4 linked regions of the Lonchura striata genome follow. The protein of the gene in region 1 interacts with the protein of each later gene in a pairwise test. Links are inferred from orthologs where the notes say so. Each region holds a gene or a part of one and is shown in the gene's direction. Other genes may lie near its edges.

Region 1 (7,834 bases):
CTGTTCCCTATTTTATTGCTGAAAGCTACTCAAGAGAAAGTGCTCACCTTAAAATGGGGCAAAAATATCAAGTGTGGCCTACTCAAAATTAGTGCCTTACATAAACTGGGATCCTGCTCTGCCAAGACTGGAGGCAAACTGTGCTATAAACACCAGTTACTGTCATGTATTAAAGGTTCAGCGAAGAGCCCGATCATCACCTTTGAATAAGAAACAAGAATAAGAAATGATGTCTCAAATATGTGTTAATGATCTGGTAGCTCTTTATGTTTGTAGGAATTATCCAAGTGCTGGCTGACTTGACACTGACCGTGGAGGAGGAGCACGACAGGCAGAAATACTGCCAAGAGACTGATCTGATTTTCTGACCGAGTGCCAAAAATGTCCACAGTGAGTTGCAACTGCACTAAAAAATATGAAATAAAATGTGAATCAGGTACAGTAGTTCTGTTTCTAGTGAGTCAGTTAAAAAAAAAAACCCAAAGATTTTAAATGTCCTCATTAATGTTCCCATGTGGAGAGTTTGTATTTAATAGCTGTTTAGCTATTAAGCTTGTTAAAACAGTTTTGGGGAGCTATTTAAATGTTTAACTCATCAAGCTTTATAACAACAGCCATCTTCAGCTTTCTGTGGTTCCTGAGTCCCTGAAACATTTTCAGTCGGTGTGGCTGACTCACTTCTGAAATCCCCCTAGCATTTGGGTGTCCATTGATCATGCAGACCTGGAGGAGTGAGCTCCCAGCTTCAAAACTGGGGCAAGACAGTATTTTAGCAGGACAAAAGATGACATTTAAGCTTCCTGGGAATAAATCCTTAAAAAATTTTCTCAGTATCACTTGTGGTATATGAATAAAATAAGTGTGCATTAATGCTAGCAGTTTTCTCAAAGACAGCAACAGCATCTTAACTGATTTTTAGCGCTGCCTTCTGTTTTTTATTTCATTTAGGGCAGAAAGGGCTTGCAATTCCTTCTGCTCAATGCAAACTCGACAAGACCAGCTGAACCCATCATGATGGAGATATACATACATATATATAGATATATGTATATGTATATATGTATGTATGTATATATATAGTTGCAGTAGTAACAGTGGGATTACATAGAACATAAAGCTCTAAAATGAAAAGTCAGACTTCCAAGGGAAAAAAGTACCCTATGAAGAAGTGTGCATTGAGACTGTCACAGAAGCACCATGGGATTTCTTCAGCAGCACCCCCAGCTGGGAGCCACGATTCCCTGGCCTCTTCCCTGGAATATTCTGTCAGAGCCATGCACCCTCTCCTTCCACGTGCTCTAATCCTTGGGCTCTGCCATGGGCAAGATGCTGAGCTGCCCACTCCCACACAGACAAGGAGCTTCCACATCAGATGGAAAATGTACTGGGAGCTTCCAATTATAAAAGATGTCACGAATGGAGTTCAGGACCATGTCTGAGGAACCATCCTCAAGATTATAGTTTGGAGTTCAGACAAGTGAATTCTGCCTACATCTCTGAAAGCTGTGAAGGAAACACATCCTTGTTTTCTGGTTGGGCTTTTTCCCCCCAGCTTTACCTAGCTAGGTGAGTTGCTGATTTTCCACCACACTACATAAAATGTATAGGTATTTGAATGCATTTGGCTTGCAGTGTTTTTTGGGGGGATTTACTTTCTCTAGGCCTTAGAATCACAGAATCATTTTGCTTGGAGAAGACCCTGGAGACCATTGAGACTCAGCACTGCCAAATCCACCACTAAACCACATCCCCAAGTGCCACATCCACACATGCTTTAAATACCTCTGGGATTGGTGACCACCACTTTCCTGACAGACTTTTCCAATTCTTCATTGAAGAATTTTGTCCTAATATTTAATCTAAACCATCCCTGGCACAGCTTGAGGCTATTCTCTCTCATCCTATTGCATTTTACTTGGGAGAAGAGAACGATCCCAACTGCCTTTCCATGTGTATTTAGTCACATTTTCTTACTCAGTTTTAGCAAAGGGTTTTTTTATCTTAAGAATCTGCCCCCAGATCTGGAAAAAATTATTCCCTGCCTGCAGCTCTAAAGACATAAAATTTAACTTAGATAGTGACCACTAGAACTGATGATGAAAGAACATAATATCCTTTGAAAAATATTACAGCTACTCTTGCCAGCTCCACAGGATCCCCATTATTAACAACAGGCAGGGGAAAGCCCCCAGAACAGTGGGAGAAGAACACCTGCAGAAGGAGCTTCCTCCACACACACGTCACCAACTCTGCAGCTCTGGCCTCACTGGTGAGCAGTACCAGCTACACTTCAAGTTCCCTTGTGCCTGAGTTCATAGAATCACAGAGTATCCTGAGCTGGAAGGATCCAGCTCCTGGCCCTGCACAGACACCCAAACAATCCCACCCTGCACCTGAGGTTGTTGTCCAAATGCTCCTGGAGCTCTGGCAGCCTTGGGGCTGTGATCATTCCCTGGGGAGCCTGTTCAGTGCCTGAGCATCCTCTGGGGAAAGAACCTTTTCCTGATACCCACCCTAACCCTGTCCTGACACAGCTCCAGCCGTGCCCTGGGTCCTGTTCCTGGTCTCAGATCAGAGCTGCCCCTCCTGTTCCCCTCGTGAGGAAGCTGCAGAACTGCTGTGAGCTCTGACCTCAGTCTGCTCTCCTCCAGCTGAACACACCAAGTGCCCTCAGCTGCTCCTCGTGTGGCTTCACCTCCAGGCCCTTCACCATCATCTCCTTAACCCTGCTTTGGACACTCTCTAACAGCTTTAGATTTTTCTTATATTTTTCTTATAAGCAGCACCTGTGCAGCCCATGTCAATGGCACAGTTCAGGATTTGTGTGCTTGAGCAAAAGCCTCTTCTGTCACAGCTGCAAGCGGAGCTGAGCGGGCACAGGCTGCACTAACACGGGGCAGGACAGTGACAGAGGCTCTGTCACGTGGAAGAGACACTGCCGAGGTCCACGTGTTGTGGAGGTTTAATTTCCGACTGGTTCTAGTGGGACCTGCTGGAGGGAGGGAATGCCTGGGAACGGCTGGAACACACTAATCTTTCACAGATGCACCTGGAGGTCCTGGTGCACAAGGAGCACCCCTCGCTCACACCGGCACTCCGGGGTGTGAACCAGTGCACCGTGACGGGCACATTCACTTCGGAAGCACACTCCTGGTACTGCCAAAAACCAGCTACAGCTCTGCTAACACACTCCAGCACACTTGTAAAGGTTATCTCTACTTTATGCTACTTTTCACTGATAGATGGGACTGCTCTCTGAGCACTCACAGAGGCTTCTGCTGACCAAAACTATTCCAAGATCCTGACACTGATTTATTTAAAAAAATATGGATATTGATCTAGTACCGATATCCAACTGTGATGGATAAAAACTCTCTAACAATTTAAAGTTAGAAAGTGTGTGTTTATTGTGTGTGGGATAGCTCCCAAATCTACACCACACCTTCCAGGTGATTACAGACTCTTTTTATCCATACAAATATTGAATACCCAAAATACAAATACGTATTCATCATTTTGGTACATCCCATTCCCCGCTTTGTATGCTAATCACTCCAAAAGCTATTAAGCATGCGTAGTTTATTCCTTGAAATGGGTCGGTGGTCCCTTTCATGGGGAGGGGTCCCAAAATGAGGAAGTCAATGAAGTCTTCCTCGTTCTGACCTTTCTACCTTTTCAATGCAAATATGACAAATGAACTCTTGGTAGAACTCCCTTTCCTTGTCTTCAATTGGTTTCAGAACAGAGGAGGCCCACAATTGTCTTTAGTTCCTAAAAGCTATTTGTCAGTTTCTATATTCTTCATTACAAACCCAGCTAATTAAACATTGTGCTGATAAGCAATCAATTTTTAGTTCACTACTAACTATTAATTTCATCAAGGCCTGCTCATTTATTTTAATTAACTCTAGTAAGGCTTATCTCTAACTAAAATCTTAGCTCCTCTAAAATCTCTAAATTCCTTAAAATTTACGTTTCAGCACTTCCTCAGGTGAAGCATCCTCTGTACAACACTCGGAGAAAGGAACAGCAGCCCTGCCCAGCCCAGGGATGTGAGCAGGGCACCAACCCGAGTGGTGCAAAACGGGGAATATGCCAAGATTATCTTAACTCAGGATATTCTTTCATGTAAGACCTTTGTGTATTTCCAAGCCTAACCGGCAAGAATGCAGATCTAACCATTGGAAGAGACAGCTGCCAGCATCCCTTACTCAAGGACATCCTGGAAATAACATGTTTTAAGGATGCGGTAAAGCAGTGTTGATGTACGTCTGTGTATACACTGCTAACTTGGCAAAACACTCCCGGTCGATGTGTTCTACGGCTGAATTATATTCATTGTAAGACAAAAAAAAAAAAAAAAAACCAAAAAAAAAAAAAAAAAAAAAAAAAAACAACCAACCAAAAAACCGCGTGTCTACGCGATCGCCCCTTGCCGCACTTGTCCCGGAAGCTGCGGGCCGGCCCAGGCCGGGGCGCGCGCCCGCCCCGCGCGGCCTCGTGAGGGAGGCGCGCGCCGGCAGCGGCGTCTCGCGAGAGGCGGCGCGCGGCGGGGGCGGGAACATGGCGGGGCGGGGGCGCTGAGCGGCGGCCGGCGGGGCGGCCCGCGCTCCCTCGGCGGCGCCGGCGGCTCCTCCTCTGCTCACCTCAGCTCACCCCCTGCATGCCGGCGGTGCCGGGGGCGCTGTGGAGCGGGGCACGGGGCCGCCCGCCATGGCCGAAGCAGGAGCGGGAAGCGCGGAGGGCGCCGAGGAGGAGCGGCGGGCGGCGGAAGGTGGGAGCGGGTCCGCCCGGGCGGCGGGAGGCGCGCGCCGCGTCCGCCTCTCCCCTCGCGCGGTGCCCCGTGTGGGGTGCGCCTGCCTGTTTGTGTCCGTCTGTCCGTCCGTCTGTCCGCCCGCCTCGGTGATGTGGCACGGGCGGGTGTCGTTGTGGGGCTGGTGCCCGTGGGGCGCTGCCGTCTTCCCGTGAGGGCGGCTCGGGACGGGTCCCGTGCCCGGCGCCGCTCCGGGGCCGCTCGCCTTGGTTGGTGGCTGATTGCTGCTGGGCGCTCCTCGCTGGCTGCTCCCGCTCGGGGGAGTTCAGTGGAGGTACCTGGAGCGCCCACACGGAAACACACAATCGCGGAATGGGGTTGGAAAAGACCTCTGGAGATGGTCCAGTCCACCCCCGTGCCCAGGCAGGGTCACCTGGAGCAGGTGACACAGGAGCGTGTCCAGGTGGGTTTGGAATACCCCCAGAGAAGGAGACTCCAGGCCCTCCCTGGGCAGCTGTTCCAGGGCTCTGCCACCCTCAGTGTGCAGAAGTTCGTCCTCAGGCTGAGGTGGAACTTCTTGTGTTTAGTTTGTCCATTGCTCCTTGTCCTATCCCTGGGCAGCAGTGAAAAGAGCCTGGCACCATCCTCTTGGCATCAGCCTGTGAAATGGTCACTGTGCTGTACAGCTGTGACAGATGTGTCATCATACTGATGCAATGTGCACTAAAAATCTGGGGGGTTTTGGTTTTTTTTTGTTGCTATTTTTTTTAAACTTAGTTTGTAGTTCACTGTTTCTGGTACACACGTACCCTTGCCTTCCTAAAACTCTAGTATTTTTTTTTTTTTTTTTTTTTGGTAGGTAAACAGAATTTAGTATTTTAGGTATAGTGATTTTGGCTTTTCTCTGTGTGTCTGTGTGTGTGCCCACGCTTGTATGGCGACCAAGGTTTGATCTTTCCATGTTTTTAATCATAAGTTTCTGGTACTAAATCAAGGCTGGTTGTAAACCACCAGCTGCTGCTCATGTTCCTGCTGGGAAACTAGTAGAAAGGGAGCGTTTTGCACGGGGTGTGGGAAAACAGAAATGGTCCGGTCCCTCCTGAGCCATCGCTGCAGCTCTGTAATAGTTAGCACCAATTCTTCTAAGCTTAGTAGTTGTTTTCTAAATGCCTCTTGGGTTATGTGTGCTTTAATGTATGTGGGGATCCTTGTTGTTTCAAATCCTTGATGAGTTTCTGTCTGTGCTGCTTGGCTGTGTAAATCCTGTTGTAAAATTTTGTGGCAAATAATGTATTGTTTGAAAACAAAGTGGTGGTGTGTGTGTGGAGGGGGGGATTTGGTAGCGTTTTTGCAGTCTGCTCAACTGTGCTTAAAACTTAAGATTTATTGTTTCTATATCATGCATATACTGAAAGGAGAGAAAACCATCAAAATGAAGAAACCTGCAAATGCACAGGCATTTCCATTTACAAGTAGATTTGGGAAATCAGTGAATCACAGGCTTTCATGTTTTATTGTGAGATAAACCCCCATCCCTGCTTTCTTCTACTGCCTATGTTTATACCTGTTCTTTTAGCAGATTTTAATGAAACAAGTTTTGGGATTCTTTATTTTTAAGACAAAAAATATCTTAATTGTTTGTGGGATAGGGCCACACTAAAATTACCTGCCTAAAAGTTTTTAGGTGTTTTTGTTTTGTTTTGTTTTGACTTGAGTGTACACCTCATTGTTGGTACCTTTGCATGGTATGAAAAAACAACTCTAAACTGGACATTTCACATCCAAGAATCAAATTCATTGTAAGAAGAAATAATTTGGTGGGTGATTTCGGAAATGAATCATTGTGAACTTTTGAAAATTCCCTGTTTGGACTGCAGGGCCAGCTAAAACCAATCAAGTTCTGCAGCTGACTTGATAGGACTCAGCATTTTGCAATCACATGATTCCAAAACTTACAAGAAAACAGCTCTCCACCATTCTTCTAGGAGTGTATGATTGGAGGGGATTTGTGGTTGTGTTTTTTGTTTGTTTTCAGAAATGAGCTATGATATATGAGACTCCCGATTCCTATCAGTGCTTTCTACCTGGTGTGAACATGAAAGTGCCTGGGAAAGCAGGGTACCCTTTCCAGGCCTTTGGGAGTATCTTTTCATTAGCTGGTTCCTGACTTATTTTATTTTTTTAATACACTGATAGATTTTGCCAATATTTTGTGTTTGAAATCTGTGAAGTAAATGTGTCATTTAAGTGGCAAGTTGTGATTCTTCACTGCTTCTCTTCCAGCTGATGAAAATAAGTAAAAATAGATGCGGAGAGTAATCAGTTGCCTCTGTTATTTTTTTATTTAAATGTATGTAATTCAGAGTGTTTTAATTTTTTATTTTTTTCATTTTGTGAGATTAAAACCAAATCCAATGTTCTTAACATAGATGAGTTTATTCTCTGGATAGTGTTGTTCATAAGATACTTTCATTACTGAATTCTCTGTATCTTGCTCCTGCATTACACATGCTTCTAAAATTTGGGCAAAGAAGAAGCTGCTTTAATCCATACATTTCTATTATTTTCAGAACTTCATTCCAAAGATTGTTGTCCCAGCTTTCAATTAGAGATACTGTAGGTGATGGACTTGCTGTAAGTAATTTGAAAATGCTTTTCATGGCCTATTTTAAAGGTCTAAAATAAATAAATTCAAAGGATTTTTTAGTACAACTCTCAGCTATGTGTAGAAAATATGGTTCTTTGTTGTATTGGTGTAGAGATGTGCAGGACCTTAAGCTGTACACAGCACCTGTAACGTTCTTCCTCACACACTCCTGGGTGTGTGTAGGCTGTGTGTGTCATTGCCACGCTCTCAAATTAATATCTGCAGCAAGAATTCATTAAAATAAACCAAAAAGTTTAGAAATTTAACTCCAGATTAAAGTGAAACAATTTTTACGTGGTGTGGAGTTACTTGCCTCTGTCAGTGTGAAGCCATTCCCTTGTCCTGTCACCCCAGGCCCTTGTCCAGAGTCTCTCTCCATCTTCCCTGTGGGTTCCCTTCAGGCACTGCAAGGCCACAGTGAGGTCACCCCAAAG
Region 2 (7,805 bases), on another chromosome or scaffold:
ATGCCCAGAAGACTATTCCTCCCTGCAGAAATTTCTAACAAAATTGGTTACAGAAGTACATTATCCAAAGAACAAGCTCCTCACATCTGTCCTTGTGCTCCCATGCTTTCCTCCCCCAGCCAGCCTGTCTGGAAAGAAGCACAGAGCTCCCAGCAAACACAGCTGGTGTGACTCTTCTGACTAACATGAGACATTAGATTTATTTGCCATTTATTTGTTCCTGTTGCTCCTGCTTTCAACATGGAAGGTAGGAAAAATTGCCCACAGTCTGTTGTGCCCCTTAATTAATATGAATCAAATGAATCCTTGTCCATATCCTTACTTTCTTGAAAACGAAACAGTTTCATATCCAGTGGAATTGGTCAGGTTTTTGTATGTCCTTTATTTTTTTTCTACCATGCAGTGCCATCTCTGACTTTTGCACCACTGTTGCCATTTATGTTGATTAGAGGATGATTATTTGGGAGAATCCTATTTACCTCTACACAAACACTAATCTGAATGTAGGCTTCACATTTCAATTATGGGCTGCAAATGACATCTTTTTCCCCACAATATCTACTGGTGTCTGCTGAAAATTAAAAGCCTTTATGTAGCACAGCCAATCAGAGAATCATCACAGAACCTTCTGGGTTTCAAAGTACATTAAAGATCATCCTGCTGTGGGCATCTTCCATTAGACAAAGTTGCTGAAAGCTCCATCCTACCTGGCCTTGATCACTGTGAGGGAGGGGCACCCACAACTTCTCTGGGCAACATGTTTTAGTGCCTCACCACCAACATAGTAAAAAAAAAAAAAAAAAAAAATCACCTAATATCTCATCTAAACCTGTCCTCTTTCATTTTAAAGCCTTTATCCCTTGTCCTATCACTACATGCTCTTGCAAAGTGACTCTGCTCTCGTGTAGGCCCCCTTTAGGTACTTGGGACACCTCTGCTTCCAGATTGTGGTGGCCAGGCTCTGACTCTGGAGCCAAGCGATGTCCAAAGTAGCTCTTGTGCCTTGCAGTGGCAGCACCTCATAAATTTAACTCCTGGCAGCAAGAGAAATCAACAGAGTTAAACACAGTGTGTCTGGGTTGAACTCACACCCAACACCAAATCCCTCCCATGGTCTTGCCACAATGGAGCAGCCGGATCCCTGGGGTGCTGCTGTCCTCTCAGGCTCTTCCCCTTGGTCTTCCTCCCTGGGAGACACCTAGCCTGTGGTTCACAGCCTATTGAAAACCCTGTTGCCTTGTTTTGGGCTGTGAAGGTTGGCCAGCCTATTCTAGTCGAAACAAAAGGGATTGCGTCTTTGAATCACAGGCTCCTGGTGTCTGAAAAGCTGCTTACTAATACTTCATTATTATTAAAAGATTTCATTCTTTAAAATTGAACGTTGGGCTCCTTGCCTAAAGTTCTTACGTGTAGCATCTAGCATAACCCTTTGGTTAATTTCCAACCCAAACATGGGATTGACAGCATTTGGTTATTTTCCATGTGTCACTGGATGGGGAGAAAGGCTTTGTGTTTTGAATGGCTGGTATTTCACAACGGGATTCAGGTATGAGCTGGGAAAAGCCTGCCTCACCCTCAGCCGCTCTGCTCTTTGTTGCCCTAATTAAAGTTTACTCTGGTAACCTAGGGAATGAATTAAGAAACAAACCTCAACCAGTCTCACTTGTTCACTTGTGCAACGGTGTCCTTAGAAATTCACAGGGAAGATGTAAAAACACAGTACGATAGAGATGTAATTTTGTACATGAGCCCCTGTGTGTCTCTGATTGCATTTCTCAACCTGGTATTTTCCTTAAGGTACTTGGTTTCCCAGCTTCTGAAAGCACAGTGTTGGTCTGGAGAAAGGATTTTGGTAGGTTTTCAAAAGGACTGGAATATCAAATCATGTAGTGTATATAATCATGGGAAGTTCCTTTTCTCTAACCTTACAAGGCTTGAAGATTTTATGTTATACTTCATTGTGCAACACAAGAAAAGTACCTCAGGAACAGAAATGTCTTTTATTCCACTCCCCATGTATCTGATGCTTTATTCCCTCAGGCACTACTTGTTTGCCAAAGGATTGTTTAACCACTGTTTGACAATTTCCAAATGGGAAAAAATGCTGGCTTTCATCCAAAGGAAGGGAGGAGCTTTTTGAAGTTTTGTATTTAATCTTCGTTAAAAGTAAACAACGTTACCCTTTCGACATTAGTCATGCCCGTTGTATAAAGAATGGTGTAAAAGTGCTCAGCAAAGGAGCACAACATTTTTCCATACTTTGTAATTACTCATATTTGCATTGGGGATTGAATTGGATCAAATAACTGGCTGGATAAGGTGTATGGCAGGAGGTGAACATCACAGCGGGATAACTGGGTGAGCTGGGTGGTGAAGGTAGTGGGAGAAGCAGCACAGCTCCCTGCAGGAGACAGGTAGCTGGAGCAACCATCAGTCCACATGCTGCACCCACACACGCATACCCGGAGCAGGCAGTGTTTTCTGCTGGTGGATATTTTGCAAGGATTAACGTGTCTTTACCGAAGGAGGCATGGGGGGGCACGGGGAAACAACACCTGCCCCACCACACAAACTATGGAAAGAGGCATGGCTGTGCAGTCAGGCCTTTTGCTAGGGACACAGCTTGCACCTCGATACGGGGGCTTTCCCTCCCCAGCAAACTCCTCTGAACAGAAAAAATACAACTCTCCTGAAAGCAAATACTGTATATCCGGGGAAAACACCTTCTGCCGGTGAAAGGTGTCCGCCAGCAGCGCCAACAAGCCCCGGGTACAAAGCCAGTGCGAGGGCGACAGCAGACAGGGGGCAATAGCCGGCGGGGCCCGGGGGACGCGGCGCCCGGGGCTGAGCCGGGGGAGGCTCGGGGAGCGCGGCCGGGAACGGCGGGGAGGCGGCGGGCTCTGCCTGAGCCGTGCCCCCGCTCCCCGGCCACTTGTGCCTTCCTGGGGAAAGAAGGGCAACTCCGGAAAGAAGGGCAACTCCAGAAGCCGGCAGGAGTGCCCGTCCAGGCAAGAGCAAGGCTCCGATCGCTAGCTCCTATCGCGCTCCAACACACCACACCGCCTTCTCTCTTACTGGTCACTTTGCAGGAAGAGTATTAAAGAAAAAAAAAAAAAAAGGCAAAATAGGGAATAAAAAGAATGACCTACTTTGAAACAAGAAAAAAAAAAAAAAAAAAAGCGCTCTCTGTCAAGGTTTTGCTCCAATTGCCTGTGCGCCGTTGCATAACCAGATCGGGAGCTCCTGTCTGTGCCCGGCGAGGCCGTGAGCCTGCCCCGGGCAGCGCGGTGCCGTGCCCCGCTCCGGCCCGGTTCCCGCTGCCAGCACCGCCGGGACAGCGGGCACGGACAGGGCGCAGGACCCCCCTCGGCGCGGAGGCCGAGCTGGGAGCGTGTCCCGAGCCCGCCGGGCGGAGCCGCGCAGGGTCCCGCCGATCGCCCCGGCAGCCAGGGCCGGGCACCGGGCGCAGTCCGGCCAGCGGGGCCGGCGGTGCCGCCGGGGGCTCCCGGGGTCAGGCTACCGAGGCGTCCGCCGGTGCGCAGCGGGGATATCGCTACAGACATATGTAAACGTGGGCACGCCGGGGTTCGCTCGCGGCGGCGGTGTGAAACCATCCTTGATGCGGGGCTGGCTCTTTGGTTGAGGATTTTTTTTCCCCTGCTTCCCCTTTCGTTCTCTTTCCAGCTTCTCCTTTTCTTGGATCCTCGCCTGTCTCCTCCCACAGAACGAGAGAGAGAGAGAGAAAAAAAAAAAGGTCACGTATGTTTGGAAAAATATGTAGGTCAGTGGAACATTCCCTGCACTTGTGCACAGGAGCTGGGGCGGGAGAGCTCCTCCGCAGCCCTCTCGCTACCCACCGCCCCAGCCCGGCCCTCCCGGCGCCCACCGCGGGTAGGGGGGCGCCTAGCGCCGGGGTCCCTTTCCCCCTCCCTGACCCATTTTGAGCAACAACCGCGCGTTCGGGCTCCCCCTGGCCCCCACTCCCCCCAGCTCCCCCCGCTCCCTGCCGGAGAAGGCTACGAGCGGCGGAGGAAAGCGGCACGGGAGATCCTCTGCCGCCGGCGCCGCGGCTGCGCCCATGGGCGCGGGGCGCGGGGCGCGCCCCCGCAGCGCCGCCCGCTGAGGGCGCGGGGCGGCGGCCCCGCGGCGGGGGCAGGCGAGGGGAGGCGGCGGCGGGCGGCGATGAAGGGCCGGCGGAGAGGATGCCCCCGCCTCGCCCGCCGGGCTCCAACTTCGCGGAGAACTATCGGCCCCGCAGCCCCCGCGCCCGCCCTGCCTCTCCAGGCCGCGCGTCCAACTTAATGCCCCAGCAGGAGCCCCAGCCAGCAGCCCCCCCGGCCTCCGGCCTCCGCACTCCCCCGCAGCAGCCCGGGCTCCCGGCGGCCTCCCGGTGCCGGCGGAGCCCCCGGCCCCGGCGCGCGTGGGTCCCGCGGCGCCCGGGGCGGCGGCAGAGCGGCATGCGGCGGCCCCGCGCACCATGAGACAGGGCACCGGCACCGGCGGCAGGCAGGAGGCGGGCAGCGTCCCCGGCTCCTCGTCGGCGAGGAAGAGTTTGCCGGCTCCCGAGGCCGGCCTCCTGCGCGGCTGGAGCAGCGGCGGCCGCTGCCGCAACGGCACCGGGAGGCACCGGAAAAGCGGCGGCATCCAGCTCGGCGGCACCAGCACCGGCGGCGGTTCCCGCGCCCAGGTGGCCACCGCGGACAGCAGCAGCAGCGGCGGCGGCGGCGGCTGGGGCTTCCCCGCCGCGCTCCCGCAGCACCGGCACCCCAGGTAACGCGCGGCCGTGCGGCCCCGACCCCTGCCTCCGTCCCGGGGGGCGCCCACTCGCGACACCCGCCCGGGGGGCGCCCGCCGGGGACACCCACGCGGGATGGTCGGCCAGCGTGACCCCCGCGGCGGCGGCCGGGGTCAGCTCCGCGGTGCCCCCCGCTCTGTGGGGGTCACGGACGCGCCCGGTGGTGCGGGGTGGCATGGCTCTGCCGCGGGAAAGTTTCCGTGGGGAGCACGCTTATGTGCGGCGTGTCTGTCCCGGCCGGGCTGGCGAGGTCCGGCCGGGCGAGCCCCTCCGTTTGGAAAATAAGTTGCCCCCTAAGCAGTCCTCCTCGCCATCTCGTTTTGGTGTGGTTGGACATTTCCTGACTTTGGGGGTTCCTATAAGCCAGACAGCAACAGGGTCTGCGATGCGACCGGGCGGGTGTTTGCTCAAGGAAAACTTCCAGTAGGAGCAGTGGGGATTTGGAATGGGTGAAAGCTCCTGGGGGGAGCAGAGGTTGTGCCGTGCGCTGGGAGAGCCCTGCTGCTGCAGCAGCCCTGCGCAGAACTCCCTTCCCGCGTGTTTGCATCCGTGTGTGGCACGGGGTAAACCTTAAATACACGGCTGAACGGCACCACCGGATTCACACGGGGTTGTGCCGTGGTGTTTTCCTCTGTGGTCACTACCTTGATTTGTCAATTAACAAGCACGCTCATCCAGAAACTTTGCTCCCTACTCCTTAGCTGTCTACAGGATGGCAGCTTACTTTCACTCAAGTGACTCAGAAATAATTAGCGGTTATAAGCGTTACAGCCAGCAGAGGAACTTGGATTTTTTCATGGCGCTAAACCTCCAGAAGGGCTGTAGGGATCTCTCGGATGGGCGCAGGCAACCTGAGCATTCAGTTCAACAAGTGGTTGCCTCTTGAAGTGGAAAATTATCTAATTTATCCCAGTGTGAGATGTTAATGCACTAAACTGTGGGTTTAATTTGTTTGGTGGTACTAAATAATTAGAGTTCACAGTGTCCAGACATAGCCAGCTCATCCACTGATGCACATCTGATTCTGAGAGCTGGTGGAGGGCCCAATACTGCATACATTTCAGTAGATGAATAAGAACACAGGGTTGCTCTGCAGAGATGCCCAGGAGTATTTGGAGAATGTGATTACCAAACTGCACATTCACTGAAGATGTGAAAATGAAGGTTTTCTAGAACTAGGTATGTGACATCAGGGTGATTCCTCAAGCTGGCAGCACTTGTGTGCTCCAAAGCCTGGGTCTTCAGTGAGCTTTCCTAAATTAGTTCTCCTTCATAAATAAAGGTGCCTTCCTGCACATTAGCAAGGTTGAATCCACAGAATTATGATTTTTTTTTTCCCAAATCTCTACACTGAAGCATGCAAGAGCCCTTGAAGGAGTTGTTTCTTTTTTCATAGGCAGCAATGTTGTCTACAGTTAAAATTAGCTAGTGCTTTCTAGTACAATGATCTGCTGTCAGGTGGTTATGCATTTCCTAAGCTTGAGCTTAGGCTGGTATTTTCCAGGATGAGTGCCTTCTGAAGGCAGACTGTCTTTGGGAAGTTTCAAATTAAATGGTTTGGTTATTTCTGAGAACGTGGTAAGACAAAAACTTGTTCTTTGACCACGTATTTGATGAAAATGGTTTAGGTATACATCCTGCATTAGGAGACCTTGATCTGGGAATCTGAATTTCTTTCACTGTGCTAAGAAACACTTTCCTTCAGATTTAAATTCTTGTGGCATCATGTTTTGGATCAAGGAAAAGATATTTTGCTTGGGATCATCTTGTGATGGGGGTGCGCATTTTGTTGATCCTCTGAGAATCTTCCAGAATTTCTTTCCAGTATAATTTTATCACAATGCTCCAGGCATGTGCTCTTGGGAGAGGACTTGTTGAGGGCTTGACTGTTGCACTTGCTTGAAGATGTTCTCAGCACAAGGCATGCTGAACATCCCAGCACTGTTAGGAGCTGAGCAACTGCTCCTCTTCCTGGGAAGGATGAGAGCATTCCAGTTGGTGGCTGATGGGCTGAATGGACTTTTCCCCCAATTACTCTTCCAAGGTGTTGCTTCTACAGTGAGTTCAGGAAGGAGAATAGAAGACTTTCTCAACTGTGCCTTCAGTGGCAGGGTGTGCCTGGTGATGCAGTGGAAGAGTGAAGCAGGAGACTGTTTAATTCACTTGAATGGTGACAAGAAATTGTGGTACTAGAACTGTCCCACTTTTGAGAAGTACTGGTGATGGATACATGGAGAAACTGAAGACAAGAGAATAGAGACAAAGGATTTGTGGGATCATGGATGACAAATCTTGGGAACAAGGTGCAGGGAACTGTAGATACAGGTGGTAAACCCACGCCAAGAGAAGGAATGGTGGAAAGGAGGAACTTGACACTTGTGTACAGGGACAGGAGACCTGAACATCCGGAAACACAGTGGTTTCCATTCTTTCAATAACCAGGACATGGTACTACTGCTTTTTCATCATTTTCCTCCCCACACTGCCTGCTCTGTGTTTCAGCCCCTGCCTCTGCTTATTTGTCTCTTCCCTGGATTGGTAAATGTCACACAGTTAAAAATAACAGCCAAATACACATTTTATGTGCATTTAATTGCTTTTCTTTCTGTGTTAGATGAACTTAGGTAACTTCCATTTGTGTTTTTAGTTTTGTGTCTAGGCTCTTAAGGGAGATGCACTTGAATTGCAGATTTTGCAGAAGGATCATTATCTGTATAAAAAGATAATTTTCCTGGATTTGGCTTAACTGTATGTTGGTCCTTGCTCTTAATAAGACTTCTTGAAAAGGTAGGCTGAGGCCATGTAAATATTTGTATTATTTTAGCTAATTTAATTCAGTGGGTAATCTGCATCAGCTGATAGACTGATTTTATGAGTCTGACTGCTGAAGTTTGAAAAGGAAACACCATGTAATAGCATTTAAGCAGAATGCGTAGATGGTGGTAGATTTATTTATGCAGTGCTGCTTTTGCTATTGCTGTTTTTTGGGAGGGTCTAAAGCTATTGTGAC
Region 3 (7,993 bases), on another chromosome or scaffold:
TTATTGGTCAAGGTAATTACATTCTTGCATAAGATGTAGAATACTTCAACACAAAGAACTGAACTAGCACTTTTTAAAAAATCTAGAAAAATTAAATAAGAGTGGCTAATGAAATAGCAATTTCTTAGAAACAATGGAATCATAGCGCATCTGACCTACTCGATTTGTTAATTCACTTTGTGAGAGTTAATTGTTCACTTTTGTTCAAATACATGGAAGATTTCTTTTGCTGTGCATGTTTATCACCATGTATGTAACCTTACTGAGAGCTCTGGGTTTCACTAAGAAAGTGGTGTCCATTGTTTTCACTTTCTTTTCTCAGCAGGAGTGGTCTAACAGGATTATTCTACCTTTATTTCTCCTTTGACGTGAACAAATCAAAAGCCCATCAGAAAAAGTCTCAGTTACGTAAACTGAGGAAAGCTGGGGGACTTGTTAATTTATCGATGGCCCTGTAAATTCTCAGATGGTAGCAGAAGTTGTGACAGGATGCAGCAGAAATGTCAAAGGACTCCCATGATTGGTTCTGTGTATGTTAGCAATTCTATCAGATGTTTTTGAAAAACACTGAGAATTAGTACAGAATGTATAATCATATTTTAGATTCAGACCAGTTTTAGATTCAGCCTGGTTAGAAACTCTCCTTTCTCTCTGACTGAACTGAGAATACCCATACAGTTTTATCTTTTCCTTCAAGTATTTTGGGAGGGGGTTTCTTCTCAATTGTCAGGAATCAAATATTTTTTCCAGGAGCAAAAGGAATAGGACAACCAAATGAAATTGTTAGAATTACAGTAATTTAAATTTCAAGATCTGAAGAGAGAAACCAGTGGCCTTTCTTGATTTTAATTTGATTTATATAATGGAGAAGCAATTCTATATTTTACCATTGCATAAATAAGAGCCTCTGAGGAAATTTGTAATCCCTTAGGAATGAGTATCCACAAAAATCCTCATGACAAAACTGGATCACCTGCCTTTGACCTCCAAGGTCCACAGGCCACGCCAGCTGATTTAACTTCAGTCAGATTCAAAAGATCCTAATTGCTCAAAGGCCTGGAGGGGAACAAAAAATCCCTGTTGGTTTTGGCATTTTCTGTGTCCGTGTTTTCTTCATTTCCTGGTTGATTTTTGGGGTTTATATAGATTGTATTTTAAATAGTAACTATGAAAATAATGAACATGGTAAGACATGCTAAAAATAAAAATATACAAAGGTTTCCCCGATGTTACTTAGGGAATGGAGAAGTATTTAGATGTTAAATTAAAATCTAGTTTAAATAAAGTAGAATGTATGTTACAGATTCAAAAACATTATTTAAATTCTACAATGGACAAAATCAGTTTTAAAAACTTAGTGAGGAATGAAACTGAGGTACAGTGCCTGAAGTGTCTGGTAGCTTTACTAACATATTTCTTAGACTGTGCCTGCTATGTTTTTTTACTTCAACAGCTCTTTAAATCATAATGATCTTGGAAGAAGCTAAATAAAATTTGTCCTGCAATTCTTATAACAAATTAAAGTAGAAGCAGACTATAGGATAGAAGACTTGTGCTCTTCAAATGCTTTAATAACTTCAGTTATTTTACACATCATTTACACCACAACTGTCATTATATTTCCTTATTCTTTTTCAGTATCCCAATGTGTTTACTGGTTAATGAACACCTCAAACTGCTGGCCTGAAAGTTTCCAGAAGGCAAGTTTCTCAAAGCCATTGTAAACTGCTGCACTCAGAATTACAAGGTGTTTAGCCACAGTATTTGTATATAAACTGGTGAAATACAAGGCAGGTTCATTGGGATAGCTAAACAAGGGGGAGGAGATCTAAAGTCCACTTCTTAAAAGTTGAAAAGGTATTTGATTATTTTTGAAGGGAAAAAAGAATCTGAAAAAAAGGCAAATAACTTGCATAAGATTTACATAATTCTGTGGTAAGAATATTGCCTAGGCACGGTATTTTGCAATTTCATGGTAAGATATTTTACTGAGATAAAAACATGTATTGCTTGAAAAAAAATTAATTAAGATCATGTGTTCTGACATAAGTTAGTTCAAATACGGTTTTCTACCCCTTTGGTAAGCCTATTGGTGGATACCTACTGGCAGATACCACTGCTGGAAGCTTTTATTTTCCAGATTCAGAGATAACTAGTAGAAGCATTTCAGAGACAACGGCTTATGTGCCGTTATCTGCCACTTCAAACTAGAACGCTAGCTAGTAGTTTTAAATGTAAATAGGTCATCAGGGACTTTAGATACGACTGCACAGTCCCTTCAAGTATCAAAGTTGGCTGCTATAAAAGCAGCATTGCTTCCTCTCAGCTGCCAGCCTCCCTCCCACTACTGTGGCTGCTGCAAGGGACAGTGTGTGACAGTGGAAGCAGATGCAACAGGAAAAGAGCCAAACATCCCCCTTTGGTGACCCTGCCTTTGTTCAACCAAAGTGATCACACGGTTGTAATAAAAGCCATCAGATGTGACAAAGCAGCAGCAAAATCCAAGGTAATCTGCAGGTTAAAACCAGATGTTTCTGGTACTGAGTCATTTACACTGTTTGGCAGAAAAGGCTCCAGGAATATTAGCCAACCCTGCTTTGCAAGGGTTATGTGGATTGTGACAGGATTTCAAGTTAACATCCGCTCATTTTAGTATTCTGGAGTGATGTGAAATTTAGTTTTGGTACCAGTTTCCTATAAGAGATCCTCTTTTGAACAGGCCAGTGTGGATCAAAAAGGAGCACACTAAGCAGGTGGTCATTCTGTGGCTCTGAAGTACATTATGCAGGACAGCAATGGCATTTCTCTAGGAAATACGGCTATTAGTTAATGGAAGTGCATTGGAAATGTCTCCATTTCCAGCTCAATGGAGTCCAACCGTTCACCAATTCACAAAAGATCTGCTGCTCCTAATTTGGCATTGTTTAAAAGTTGTGTTTGCTTTCACAGTCTGTGAGTGAACCACAACTACCATTACACAGCAAAGCCACACTGATGGCAAGAGCAGAGCAATAGTATTTCTAGAAGAATAGTTCATAAAACCACCACACCATCTCTAAGCTGTTCTGCTCCTTCAGGATCCTACAAAATACTGCCAAAAGAAAAGCAGCATTAAAAAAATGACCTTGCTTAGGCCACAGCTTTGGCAGAAAATGCAAATGTGCATCATCTCCACAGCTGTGTTGCTTGTTTTGATCTTGTCAAAGAATAATTTGTCACTGCAACATTGCAGTGAGTAGGTGTTATGCTCCTATTCATGCAAGGTGTGAAGAGATAGTGCAGCACCCCTTCTTCTGAAGAATTACCACTGCTTATTAAAGATCTTCTGGAAAATTCAATAGATACAGCGCAAAGTTATTTGTAGCCTCCTGGTTTCTTTGCCATATTCTAGTTCTGATAAATAAGCATTTTTGGTGAAAATATTCCTGCATTTTTTCCTTGATATTCCAATCCTACCCTATTGTCTCTACTACATTTTATCATAAGTGTTATCCTTTGTGCATAAGATAGTATAATTATCTTTCCTTATGCCACATTTTCCTCAACTGAAAGCTAAAATTAGAGTATTGTGAATCAGAAACAAAAATAAACAGTTTTGCTAATGTTTTTCAGAATTCTTCCAGTGGAAAAGCTTATGGTCAGCTCTTTGGGAGCTTTACTGGTAAAGAAGCTCCTGTCCCTACAGTATCTTTGCACTAGACTTTGGTCACGATTGTGAATCAAATGGGGAAACTGAACTACCTGAAAAGTAACCCAGAAAGAAATCCATGACAATTTGCAGTCAAGTTCTTTATTTTATTCTAGACATAAACACGAATTAAACTTATACAGATACTTTTAAATACATTGCTATTCAGATACCAATTAAAAAATAAAATCCTTTTAACTGTGAGAAAAAAATTTGGATTACTTACACAATTTTACTTCTAAGCGTTTTATATTACAAAAAACGACTCGCCACAATGTTTTGCTGCAGGCATAGCAGGTTTATATTTAAATATTATGGAACTGTATTAAAAGCCTCGTACGTACAAAAGGGTTGAGGCAAACACGTCTGGTCTCTGCCGCTCTGGGAATTTCTCCGCTTTATGCACAGGAAAGAACAAACCACGGACCTCCGCTGGGACGGGTTCGTTGAACCCCTAAATACCTCGGGACGCATTTCCCGGACAGGACCCGGGATGTCGCTCGTTCCGCTTTCGGAACACGCGTGCGACGGCGTTCTGCGCCGGGTTCACGGTGCCGGCGGGGAAGCGGCTGCGTTCAGCGAGCCCGTTCCGCGGGCTCGGCGGGCGGCGCCCCGTCCGCCGCCATTTCCCGCGCCCCGGGGTGAGGCCAGGCGAGGTGAGCCGAGGTCAAGGAGGCGCGCGCCCACCGCGCCTGCGCGGCGCGCGCAGCCCTCCCCCGCCCCCCCGCGCGCCAGGCGAGGCGCGCGCGCAGAGCGGGGATCGCCGCCCCGCCGTGCCGTTCCTGCGCACGCGCGGCGGAGGCGGCGGCGGCGGCCCCGGGCTGCCGCGGGTTGCAGTACGCGCCGGCGCACGCGCGGTGGCGCGAGGCGCCGCGGCGGCCGGCGGCGGTGGGGGCTCGGCGGCGCAGGCGCGGTGGTGTCGGGGGGACTCCCGGGCCCGGGTGCTGCCGTGCCGCCGCCGGAGGAGCGGGAGCAGCAGGTTCAGTCAGGCAGTGCCGGCGGGCGGCGGGCGCGGGGCTGCGCGCGTGGAGCGGCGCTCGCCGGGGCAGGCAGGCGGGCAGCGGCAGCGCGGGGCCAGGTGAGCAGCGAGCGCGGCGCGGGGCGGTGCGGGCGGACCCGCCGGGGCCCGGTGTGCGCTGGCGAGGGGAAGGCGGGGGCGCGGCGCGGAGGAAGTTTGACAGCGCCGGCGTGTGTCTCCCGCCGCGAACCGGGGGGCGGGAGTGCAGCGGCTGCCCTTGGGCGGGCACGGCCGCGGCCGGGGGCGGGGGGCGCTCGCGGGGCACCCGCTAGGCCCGGTGACCCACTTTGCTCCTGTCACAACTCCGGGGCGCGGCGGGAGCGCCGCCCGCCTGGCCCCGCGCCCGCGGACCGGGCCGGGCGGGCGCGGGACTCCCCGGCATCCCGCGGGCCGGGCTGCGCCGGGCCGAGCAGGGCTGCGGGCGGCGCCTCCCCCCGCGGCCCCTGCGCCGCCGCTCCGCGGGGCGGTTCGTCCCGCGGGAGCCGGGGGGCGCGCCCGGGCCCGCCGCCCCACGCGCGGGGGAGGTTCCGGCGGCGGCCCCGCAGCGCGGGTGTTGACACGGCGGGCGGGCGGCGGTCGGTGCCCGCCCGGCCCCGGGCCCTCCCCGCGGCGGGACAGCTCCGCGGGGCCTCGGGCTCCGGGCGGTGGCGAGAGCGTGCCCCGCGCTCTCCCTGCGGCAGGTGGGCTGCAGCTGCGGGGTTACGTATGCACTTCGTAGGCTTTTAATTTTCCCTTTGTTTTTGGGTTACGATAACTTTATTGCGATAACCGCAACGTGTTCACGCTCGTAAAACCTGAGGGATTCTCAGTATACCCCGGTCCTTTTTCGAGTTACTGCGGCCTTAAAGTCAGTCTCTTTAATGCTCCGTGCATGCAGGTGTGAAATACGAGCAGCGAGGGACTGGAAATCCATGGTACTTCAGTTTTGTGTTTGGGTTAAGTTGGATCACGATTTTTCGTTGGTTTCAATTTCAAGTTCCAGATATTTTAGGCCTCGGTATAAATTGGAAATGTTTGGTTTTTTTCCATGGGGAGTAGTGCTTGTGAACTAATCAAATATATTTGCAGTAAGATTTTTGTATACCTGTTTTCATATGCTAAAGAGATAACCTACCAAGAGGCATAGGGGAAATCAGGTATGGTTTTGGCTGGAATATGTAACTCTATGTAGACGCAGAGTGGCCGATCATAGAACCTGATGCTCTAAATCCTTAAAGTAGGTATTTTTACTTCAATGACTGGTTGACAAGCAGTGCTTTTGGTGGCAGTATTGACTTGACCTGGTCTGCCTCTTCCTTGCTCCAGCTGCACCAGCACAACGGTTCTTGGAAATCGGTCCTGTAACTAGCTTGAGGAAATGATCCAGGTTAAAATTGACTACCTAGGTTTTGTGTTTTTGTTTTTTCTTTTTAACGTGGTTATAGTTAACCTATATAATTTCTCTGGCTAACAGGTGTAACAGGAGGCAAGAGGATTGTTTAAGCAAATACTCTAGAGAAAGAAGTACTTGAGAAATACAGCTCGACTGTGGTAGTCCTGGCAAAGTTCAGTATGAACAGTTGCAGTTGTTTCACAATGTTCAGTTTTACAGAAATAATATTGACTTTGTTTATAAATATCTGTGGGATTTGGGCCTGTTATTTGAAAATGGACAGCATTTGATTGTTGTAATAGGGAGATTCTAGTTGAAAGTAATTTTGCTTTTAATTTTTTTTATAAGTTAAACTATTAATTTTCATATGTATCCACTTAAGACACTTTCTCAAACTTGCTACAGATGCTGCTTTCAGATTACCAGACAAAATGTATTTGGTTTAGGTTTTTGTAGAATATGGCAAGTTTATCTGAGAATTTTGTTGGTAAGGCAAGGGTTACTGCTTCTTAACAAACAATTCAAACAGGGAAAAAAACCCCAAACTTCCGGGTTGATATTTAATAGTTTCAGGTGCCATTCAGCCATGTCTTGTTTTTTATTTCTTCCGCTTCATGCTCTTACATGGAAAAGTTTTAACACATTTAGGTAAAATAAAAGAATGTGAGGAAAGGAGTATGTTTTTGTTACTAATGCTCTTCTAAGGACCTCCAAACCTCTGCTGTAGGTAGCTTTGCTCTCTTTGTACTAAGCAATTTTAAAACTCAGTGGTAATTACCTTAAATTTTATTTGCAGTGTTGGTTAATTAGCTTCTTGGTATAGAATTTCATGGAAGTCATGAATCTTTGTGGTTGGATTGGTCTTGTAAAATAAATTGTTGCTTTTAAGAGCTTTAGGCTTTTGCTTTCCCTCCCCCCGCCCCGATTTTAAATTTCTGAGAAAAGTTGAAGGTATTAAGTGATAGTAGAGGTATTGCCCCTCACCTTCTCCACATGTTCTTTATATTAAATGTTTTTCAACTTGGAAAGTTGTGGGGTTTTTTTTATTAAAAACAAATAAACTTGTATTGAAAAGTTTTGTGAATCAAAAATGCAGTTTTCTTTACTAGGTAATTTCCTCATTTGAAAGGAGCTTCTTTTTTATCTACGCTTTCCTTCAGGAGATACATATAATTTGTTGTCAGTGCCTCATGGTTTCAGCCTAGTTTTATAATGAAGACTATGGATAGCTCTCCTCTTGAAGTAGAAAATTATCATCCTAATACAGTTTTTAATACAAAATATAATTCAGAAGAATTGGAATTACAGCTGAAAGGTGCCTTTTCATCACACTGTCATGAATTAGTTTTGCTCGAGACAAAGACTTTGGTAGATCTCTGAAGTGAAGAAAAGTTTATTTTAGTGTTTCAGCCTTTTGAAAGCACTAGCTTCTCTATGAGCACTGCAAACTGAAGGCTGAGTGTGAAAGCAGGTGTAGAACTGTTTCTGAGGATTATGAGGTGATGTTAGTAGGTACTGGCATAGCAAAGTCAGTAGTGATTGTTCCTGCCATTCTTAATTTCTGTTTATTTACTTTGCAAAGTATATTTAACCTTTCAGTGTTAATGAACTGGTTCACCACTGAAGGGGTGGCACAAGATCAGGAGTCACCAGGCTGTTGGAGGAGCAGTAGCTGGTTTTGAGTAGCTTTATCTCTAGAGGACAAAAAAAGTGTGAGACTACAGATAGTTGCCAAACCATTCAACTGTTTCTCTCATCTTAAGCTAATACTGAATTATTGTTAGTAGTGTTGATTTTAATAATTTGGATTTAGTGATCTTTCAGTATAAAAAGACGTGTTGGAAGCACACCTTCAGTCCCTCAGCAGAATCTGAAATGAAAGGTGTCAGTGTCTCTCTATAACTCTGGCACAAGT
Region 4 (7,505 bases), on another chromosome or scaffold:
ATCTTCTGTATTCTATCTGTATTTCATAGGGATCCCTTTTTCCCTGCTAACAAATCAACCTGAAGTTTGAAATTTTACTATATCACTTGCTATTGTGCTTAATAAATATTCTGTGGCTTTAACTTACTCTGGTATGAGTAAGCGAAGAATGCTGTCTCCTTCCTCCAAAGCATCAGCTGTGTTGAATAACAGGGCTCTCTTTTCTCCCATTCCTTTCCCATAATGTCATTATTTGTTATTACAATAATCAATTTTTTGAATTTGCAATATTGAGGAGCCAGAAAAAGAAATAAATCAGACAGAGATTATCAATGAAGCTAAAACACTTTATCCTCTCAATAATTTAAGAGCTGCTTTTAATTTTAAAAATTATGCTTCCCCTGCAAGAGATAGAGTATCCATGTTTTCTTCTGACTACTCTGGAGCATTAATTGCTGAGCAGCGTCAAACTTCTGTTTTACCAACACGCTTCAGTCAGTGCAGTGCCAGTAGCATGCATACATAAACCGGAGTACTAGAAGTGCTTTGACTTGGCTGATGATGGCTATGCGCATTCAAACCGGAGTAAGTGCTGATTTGGATGGCTGATTACATACATATGCACATCCTTGGAAAAAAACAATGCAGCATAACTGGTCCTAAATCACTGGTGTGTTTCAGAATAAATGGCATTAATCAGGAGTCGGCCAGCATCTTGTTTGGGTGATGGGGTGTTCCCCATGAGCACCAGGAGCCCTGTCACTACCCTGTGCAGATTTCCTAGCTTGTCAATGCGGTTTAAACTTCAGTGTGGGCTGTGAAAGTTGCTCTCACACCACCGGGTTTTTTTGTAAGTCTCTCTTTTCCCCAGAGTTTAGTCCAGACACAGCTGACATAAACTGGTCCCCTCTAGACTTGAAGGACCCTTCAAGAACCCAACTGATAACAAGACAGATATCAATGACTTCTCAAATTCATCACCTGAAGGCTGCTTTTAGAAATTAAAAACTTTGTGTTCCTATAGCATCTCTAGAATAATTCACATAGGAAGAACGTGTGTCATCTTCTCTAAGACACAGCAGCTTGTATTTTCTCTAGCCAGTAAAAGTAAAGAAGTCCCATCTGGTATGCTGATTCTGCTGAAATCTTTGATGAGGGGAGGAAAAAGAGGAGTTAACCCCTGTTAAGTTCAGTTCATGAAGTTCCCCGAAGACTTTATCCTCTTCCATGAGATTTTATCTGAGTTATATCTACTAAGCAAAGTGTAAAACGTAGCAAATGCAAGGTAAAATGTAAGGAGTAACATTGGAATATGAAATGGAAAGAGCCTTTACAGTGCTGATAGCAATCAACAGAACAAAGTATGTTTGCTGTCAGTTTAAGGCTTTGTTTGGCTTTTCTGGCAGCTGTATCTTCTGTGGTTAAATAGAGCAGATTTGTAAAATAAATGTGCTCACTAATGGCGTAGTTCCTATCGAATTTTCTGAGTAGTATAAGGTTAGAGAAAGTCCATGTTATGCTGGGTACTGCTGTTAATAAATACTGACTCATCATAAAGGAAATTAAAATACTAACAAGATGCATTTGGAAATACAATTATGTGATTCTCTCCACTGTTATCCAGCAAGGAGAAACCCCAGCAAGCCTTCCCAAATGTGCTGTGGGATCCCTTATCACCACAGAATGCGTCTAGTAAATTGACAGTGGTATTAAAGATACATTTGATCTTCCCCTCCCTGAACAGTCCTGGGAAAGAGAATGAATTAATAACTAAAGCTCTAGAAGACAGGCCTTTTTTTTTTTTCCTTCATGTTCAAGATGGGGAGCTCATTTGCCAGAAATAATAGTATAGACAACTTCAAGAACTGAAGCTGTGAGGGAGCTGTAAGAATCACTCAATCTTGCTTGCTTCACCTTCCTGATGCAGCAGAAAGATTCCTGTTTTTCTGGGCACTGACCTGTGCTGAAGCCCACCAACCTGTCTGTGCAGGGGAGGACAGGACAGGTGGTGGTTCTTAAGTGGTGCTCAGATGTGAATTCTCCCAAATTCTCCCAAAGAACCTTCAGGCCCTGCTGGCCCAGAGAATGAGAGATTTACACTGTTAATCAACTACACTGTATCCATGTAGGCTGAGCCAACAGGAGTCTGGCCAATGAGCTAGATGTGAAATACTTAAAATTTACTGAGTGGTTTAGATTTAGTCAGTTTGAATGCTTTTCTTGTCTGATTTTTGAAGGCAACTTGTTTATCCAAGTGAAGTGTTTTAAGATACAGCAAGGAGCATTGACATCAGCAGAGATCAATGAAGGATGAAGAGGTCTATTTAATCTAGGAAATGAGTGACTTGGGTCTTTGATCCTGTTGCATTCTCATATTCCCAGAAGGTTAAATTTAGTCCTGCATACACAAATTCTGTTTGACTAAGTTTACTTAGGTTTTAAATATTTGTGGCTTTCTTTTGTTTAGGTTCTCTTGTTATACAAGAAAAAAAACCCAACTGTTACCACATAATTAGGCTGTTGCTGTGTAAGCATGTGTAGCTCTTTTCAGACTTGAGAGCAGAATATGCAAATTCAAACCCAAATGCATTTCTTTAAACTTTCATACAATATAAAAGAAAAGGAAAACACCCTCTGACCCATTGTATACAAACGAGCCTCTGAAATGACATAGGGAAATGGCTCAAATTTGTATTAGCAAGAAATAAGTCCTGTTAGTCTCATGTTGCCTACAATACTTCCATTTTCTAGAAGAAAACCTTGTGGAGCCTAATACAAAGGTGTGCATTTGGTTCAAGATATAAAAATGTAGAGAACATGAGGATAAGCTGAAGTTTCTGCTATGCTGAAAGACAATATCAGGAAAATTTTTCATAATCCCTTGTCTAGGAAGGTTAGTGGCTTTGGTGTAAAATAAACAGAGCTCAAAGCAAGAGGGTTTTTTTTATTATTTACATTTATCTTAACTCCAGCAAGCTATAGCAGGTGCTAGCACGAGATGAGCTTCGGCGCTTCTTGCCACAGACTCGCTCCACCATGTGTCATCAACCACGAGTTTTAAAAGTGCCTGAATTGAAATATCCATTATGACACAGAAAATAAAATCGAAAAAACAGGGAGAGGAAGGAAGTCCCATCAGGGAGGTAAAAGAACAGCCCTTGCTTCCTTGCACATCCCTCTGCCCCCAGCTGCTGCCACACTCCCGCTCCTCCGTGTGCGAGCCGGGCCGAGGGCGGCCCCGCACGCCCGCGATGGCTCCGGGGCGTCGCTCCAAGCCCGCACCGTCCTTGTGGCTTTTATTTTCGTAATATTCAATTTATTTTTTCGACACCCATGCCTCGGGCTGAACGGGGGGCGCTCCAGGGGGCGAGTGCGGGGCAGCTCCCCGCTTGCCGGAGCAGCGCTCGGTGCCGGGGCAGCACCGCAGCTGCTCCGCGGCCGCCGGGCAGGTGTCGCGGCGGCCCTCGGACCGCACCGGCGGGGAGACACCACGGCGGGGAAAAAAAAAAAAAAAAAAAAAAAATTAAGTTTAATAACGAAAAACTTAAATAACTAAAAAATAAGCGGCGGAGGGGTGGGTGCCCGTGCGCGGGAGCCCCGCCGCAGCCGGAGCGGTCCGGCGGGGCGGAGCGGCCCCGCTGACCCCCGGCCGGGCCGGTGCCGGGGGCGGGGAGCCCGGGGCGCCCCGCGGGCCCCCATTGGCCGGCGCGGCGGCGCGGCGGGGCCGGGCCGTGCGGGCCGGGTCCCGGGCGGAGGGGCCGGCCCTGCCCCCGCGGCCGGCGGCTGCCCAAGGTTTAAAGTGAGAACTTTCTGCGGGCGGCGCCGAGCTGTACAGCCCCGCCGCCGCGTCGCTCCTGTCCCGCCGCAGCAGCCGCCGCTACCGCCGCCTCCCCCGGGCGGGCCGTACAATCCTCGGCAGTGTCCTGAGACTGTACGCCCGCCTCGGGGGCGACCCGGTCGAACCGGACCCCGCTCCTCGCCCGCGGAGCCCCGCGTCCCGCGGGCAGGTGCTGAGCGCGCCCCGGCCCGAGAGGCGGCGCAGGAGCCGGCAGCAGCCGCCGCGATGACAGCTGACAAGGAGAAGAAAAGGTGAGGGGCCGCGGGCGAGGCGCCGCGCTGCTCGGGCCGCTGCGTCCTCCTGCGGCCGCGGGACTCCCCGCGGGCAGGCGCCGAGGGGGCGCTGCCCGAGGGGGCACCGCCGGCGGGACGGGACGGCCTCGCCTCCCCCCGAGTGCGGCGGGACTGAGTTAGTTCGCCCAGCCCGGGCGGGGAGAGGGCCAGGGGCGCAGCGCGGCACCCCTTGCGGTAACCCGCGCTCCGTCTGGGCTGGGAGCGCTGCCCGGGGAGCTGCCCCCGCCGGGCGGCACCGCGGCCGGCAGCGCGCCCGGCCGCGGCCCGGGGAAGGCGGCCCCCGGCCGAGCCGGGCGGCGGGCAGGTGCACCTGGCAGGCAGGGCCAGCCAGCCGGTGTGCGGCCAACGTCATGTACGCCATGGCACGGCTTGGTACCAGCGAGGACAGAGGTAGTAGGTAACTGTTTTTCACTCGAGGACGGGGGTTTTGAAGGTAGCAGCACTCTTGGCAAAACGTGGTTTATAATCAAAGTCGCGTGGGTGAAACTGACAGGCTGTGTAAATATTTCGCCACCTCCTCGCTCCAGTCTGAGACGCTGGCCGCGGTGCATCTCCCGCGGTTCGCGGAGCTCCTCGGCTGCCAGCGGGTTTTCCCGGAGGGTCGAGAGCTCCAGGAGCGCCCAGCGCCTCGTTTGCTGCTGCCCTTCGAGAGGGATGTCAGGCTAGACATTCCCACACTGCCGGAGCGACCCTTCCAGCGGGAATCAAAGTAACGCACTGGTGGTTTTGTAGTTCATCGAAGAGTTGGTTCTTGAGAACAAACGTCAAAATAAAAGTCAGCGGTCCATAACACAGAAGTTACAGGTGGAGATTAAGAGAAGAATTATCTACTTATTGCTCCAAAGTTATAAACAATTCCTATGGATGAGAGAGGGCACGGGCATGGGGAAAACTAAGCAAGTGAATAAAGGTCTGTGAAATCCTGTGAAAGGATATGGATGCAGTCTGTTTCATACAGCAGGCAGTTACAAGGATCCGTTGATTATCGGCACAGGTTCTGGCTATAGATTCTCTATAGAGATGTGGATTATAGACTAAGAATTTTATGTTGCTAATTTGTCGTGCGTACTATCCAGTTGACCATGCAGTAAACTTTAAACCCTGGGTTTTTGTTTGTGTAATAGCTCCTTTTTTATTGAGTCACCCTATGACAATATAATAGGGGAGGTGTAGTGGTGTAAATCATTCCTTTTCCCTCTAGTTTTGTTTTCCTCAGTTTACTGGAAACTAAGGTTAAACAGTTAAACAGTTGCTTCAAGTGTATTTTGTTTTAGATAGAGTGAAGAGTAAAAATATACGTACATTTTGTGTCTTATGTTGTAAAAGTAAAAATTATTGTACAGTACAATGTAGTTAAAAATGTGTTAGTTTATGAAGCAAGAGGATGAAATAGTGTATATCTTGGAAATGCACTGCATTCATTGTATTACCTCTTTTTAATGGGGCACTCTTTAATCTCTTCAGTTTTAACCTCTTTCAAGCAGAGTAAGGGATTGAGCAGTGTCTAATCTTGCAGGACAGCAGACTGAAGTGGTTTGGGGAAATACTCTTCAGATACTACACAGGCTTCAGAGGACTGAAGTCTGAACCCTGATCCTGACTCTGTCACTGCTTTTGAATATTGTGACATTCAGTGACAATTTTTCTGTTTCTCTCAGAAGTAGGCTAATTGTTATCTGGTTCATGGGATTGTTGCGTAAAATAATGTTTGTGGAAGAATTGGGAGAGTGTCATATGAGGGACTTCAGATAGCTGGCTTGTGCCTCCCTGTCAGTGTGCTGTGGATATCCCCACTGAGGATGTACTCTATGTTGCTCGCTAAAACAAGATAGTTTTGCTTTCTTCATTTTCCTGTACTATTATAGAGTAGTTTTATTGCCTTGAGTTTGACAGTTAGTATATTGTTTGCTATATTTTCCGGAACAGAATAGATAAGACACAGCAGCCCAAATTGCGAATAGCATTTATAAATCACTTTCATGGAGAAAAGGTGGGATGATGTTACCAGATTTCCAGGCAGCTCTGAAACTATGTTGAGGAGCAGTTCTCTTACTGTCAAACAGATGTTCTAAGTAGGATAATCTTCATTTAATAATGATTCATTTAATGGTCCGTTTAAGTTGAAGAACATCCTCAGGTCCTCATTTGAAGCTCTGTTTGCCAGCAGAAAAGAGCAGTTGCTTTATTTAGAACAAATGTTATGGCACTTTCAGTAGGCTGATTTCCCACCTTTAAAGTTAGTCCAAGATCCAGAGTTGAGATTAATATGATTGCTCTTTTGATTTAAAAAAATTATCTAGACAGTATTAGATCCTCTCTTAGAATGCCAGTAATTAGGAACTGGGAGAAGGAGAAATAAAAGGGCATAACACATTTTAGCAAATAGTAAAAGCAAAGGGAAAAGTGTCTGATCTGTACAGCTGTGCAGTACAATGACAAGTAGTAGGTAAGTCCCAATGTAATTAGAGTAGCCTGATACAATATCTTGTCGTGTTTTTTAGTGATTTTCAAGACAGTTATTTTGTTAGGACTGGCTGCTGTGTTAAATGAACAGCTCTGGATAGACAGCAGTGTCTATTTGAGAAAAGTTTGAAACCAGGCTCAGGACAAGCCCCAAGTACCACTGAGAAGGATGCATTATTTGGCTTCACCTTTTCAGTTGTGTTGGTACTTGGGAATTCTGTGTTTGTTTTCCAGTTTTATGAAAAATAAACCAATTTTGCAGCTCAGGGTGTGCTAGTGGTCCCCATGTAATTGCACAATATATTTTGTGACCATAACCATATAACATTACAAAAATCCATTTAACTTTTTCTGGCCCAGATAGTAAAGAAATGGGATTGCCCCCAGTTATTGTCTAGGTAATAGACTGCTTTCATTTACCCTTTTACTTTGGGCTTTATTTGATGTTGAGCCCCTCTAATGAGATGCTTTGTGCCTCAATTTTTGCTGACCTTTTCCTTCAGGAGAGTAGTTTTGCCAAGCTGAAGTCACTCTTGGCTGTTCCTCCTCAGGATGAGGAAACTGTCCTGATGGCACAGCTCTCCAGAGCTCAGGTAGTTAATTGCTTGTAATGGATATAATTTGGATGTCAGGAAATGTGAGCATTTGGATGTGCCAAGGTGTTAAACTGGAGATTTCAAGAAACATACAGTCTGTTTTGTTCTCCCCAGGACATTTTCTGTGTGTCACTACTTCCAGGTATGCTCCCTATTGCCTGTGCTGTTGGTGACCGATGATCTTGTCCATTCTCTTGCCAACTTGGGTTTGTTCTTACACTCTTTTAAACCTCACTTTATGTACTTTAGCTGATGGAGCTTTGAGCACTTTCCATTGCAGACTATTTCATACATTACCCAGCTTCATAAAAAAAAAGGTCAAGTTTTATTATTGCT

What was found.
Region 2: the proteins of BMAL2 (region 1) and NPAS2 interact in binary tests that used the Homo sapiens proteins (3 or more experiments, as listed by UniProt). The link is inferred for Lonchura striata from reciprocal best matches to the Homo sapiens genes BMAL2 and NPAS2.
Region 3: the proteins of BMAL2 (region 1) and CLOCK interact in binary tests that used the Homo sapiens proteins (3 or more experiments, as listed by UniProt). The link is inferred for Lonchura striata from reciprocal best matches to the Homo sapiens genes BMAL2 and CLOCK.
Region 4: the proteins of BMAL2 (region 1) and EPAS1 interact in binary tests that used the Homo sapiens proteins (3 or more experiments, as listed by UniProt). The link is inferred for Lonchura striata from reciprocal best matches to the Homo sapiens genes BMAL2 and EPAS1.

The regions. Positions count from the first base shown.
Region 1 is NC_134607.1:1,590,381-1,598,214, forward strand, and holds the start of BMAL2 (basic helix-loop-helix ARNT-like protein 2), read left to right. Parts: upstream 1-4,578; 5' UTR 4,579-4,713; coding exon 4,714-4,774; intron 4,775-7,834. UniProt on the Homo sapiens protein: Transcriptional activator which forms a core component of the circadian clock.
Region 2 is NC_134604.1:87,285,959-87,293,763, forward strand, and holds the start of NPAS2 (neuronal PAS domain-containing protein 2), read left to right. Parts: upstream 1-4,474; 5' UTR 4,475-4,477; coding exon 4,478-4,770; intron 4,771-7,805. UniProt on the Homo sapiens protein: Transcriptional activator which forms a core component of the circadian clock.
Region 3 is NC_134606.1:27,394,910-27,402,902, reverse strand, and holds the start of CLOCK (circadian locomoter output cycles protein kaput), read left to right. Parts: upstream 1-4,657; 5' UTR 4,658-4,766; intron 4,767-7,993. UniProt on the Homo sapiens protein: Transcriptional activator which forms a core component of the circadian clock.
Region 4 is NC_134605.1:16,709,597-16,717,101, forward strand, and holds the start of EPAS1 (endothelial PAS domain-containing protein 1), read left to right. Parts: upstream 1-4,422; 5' UTR 4,423-4,460; coding exon 4,461-4,507; intron 4,508-7,505.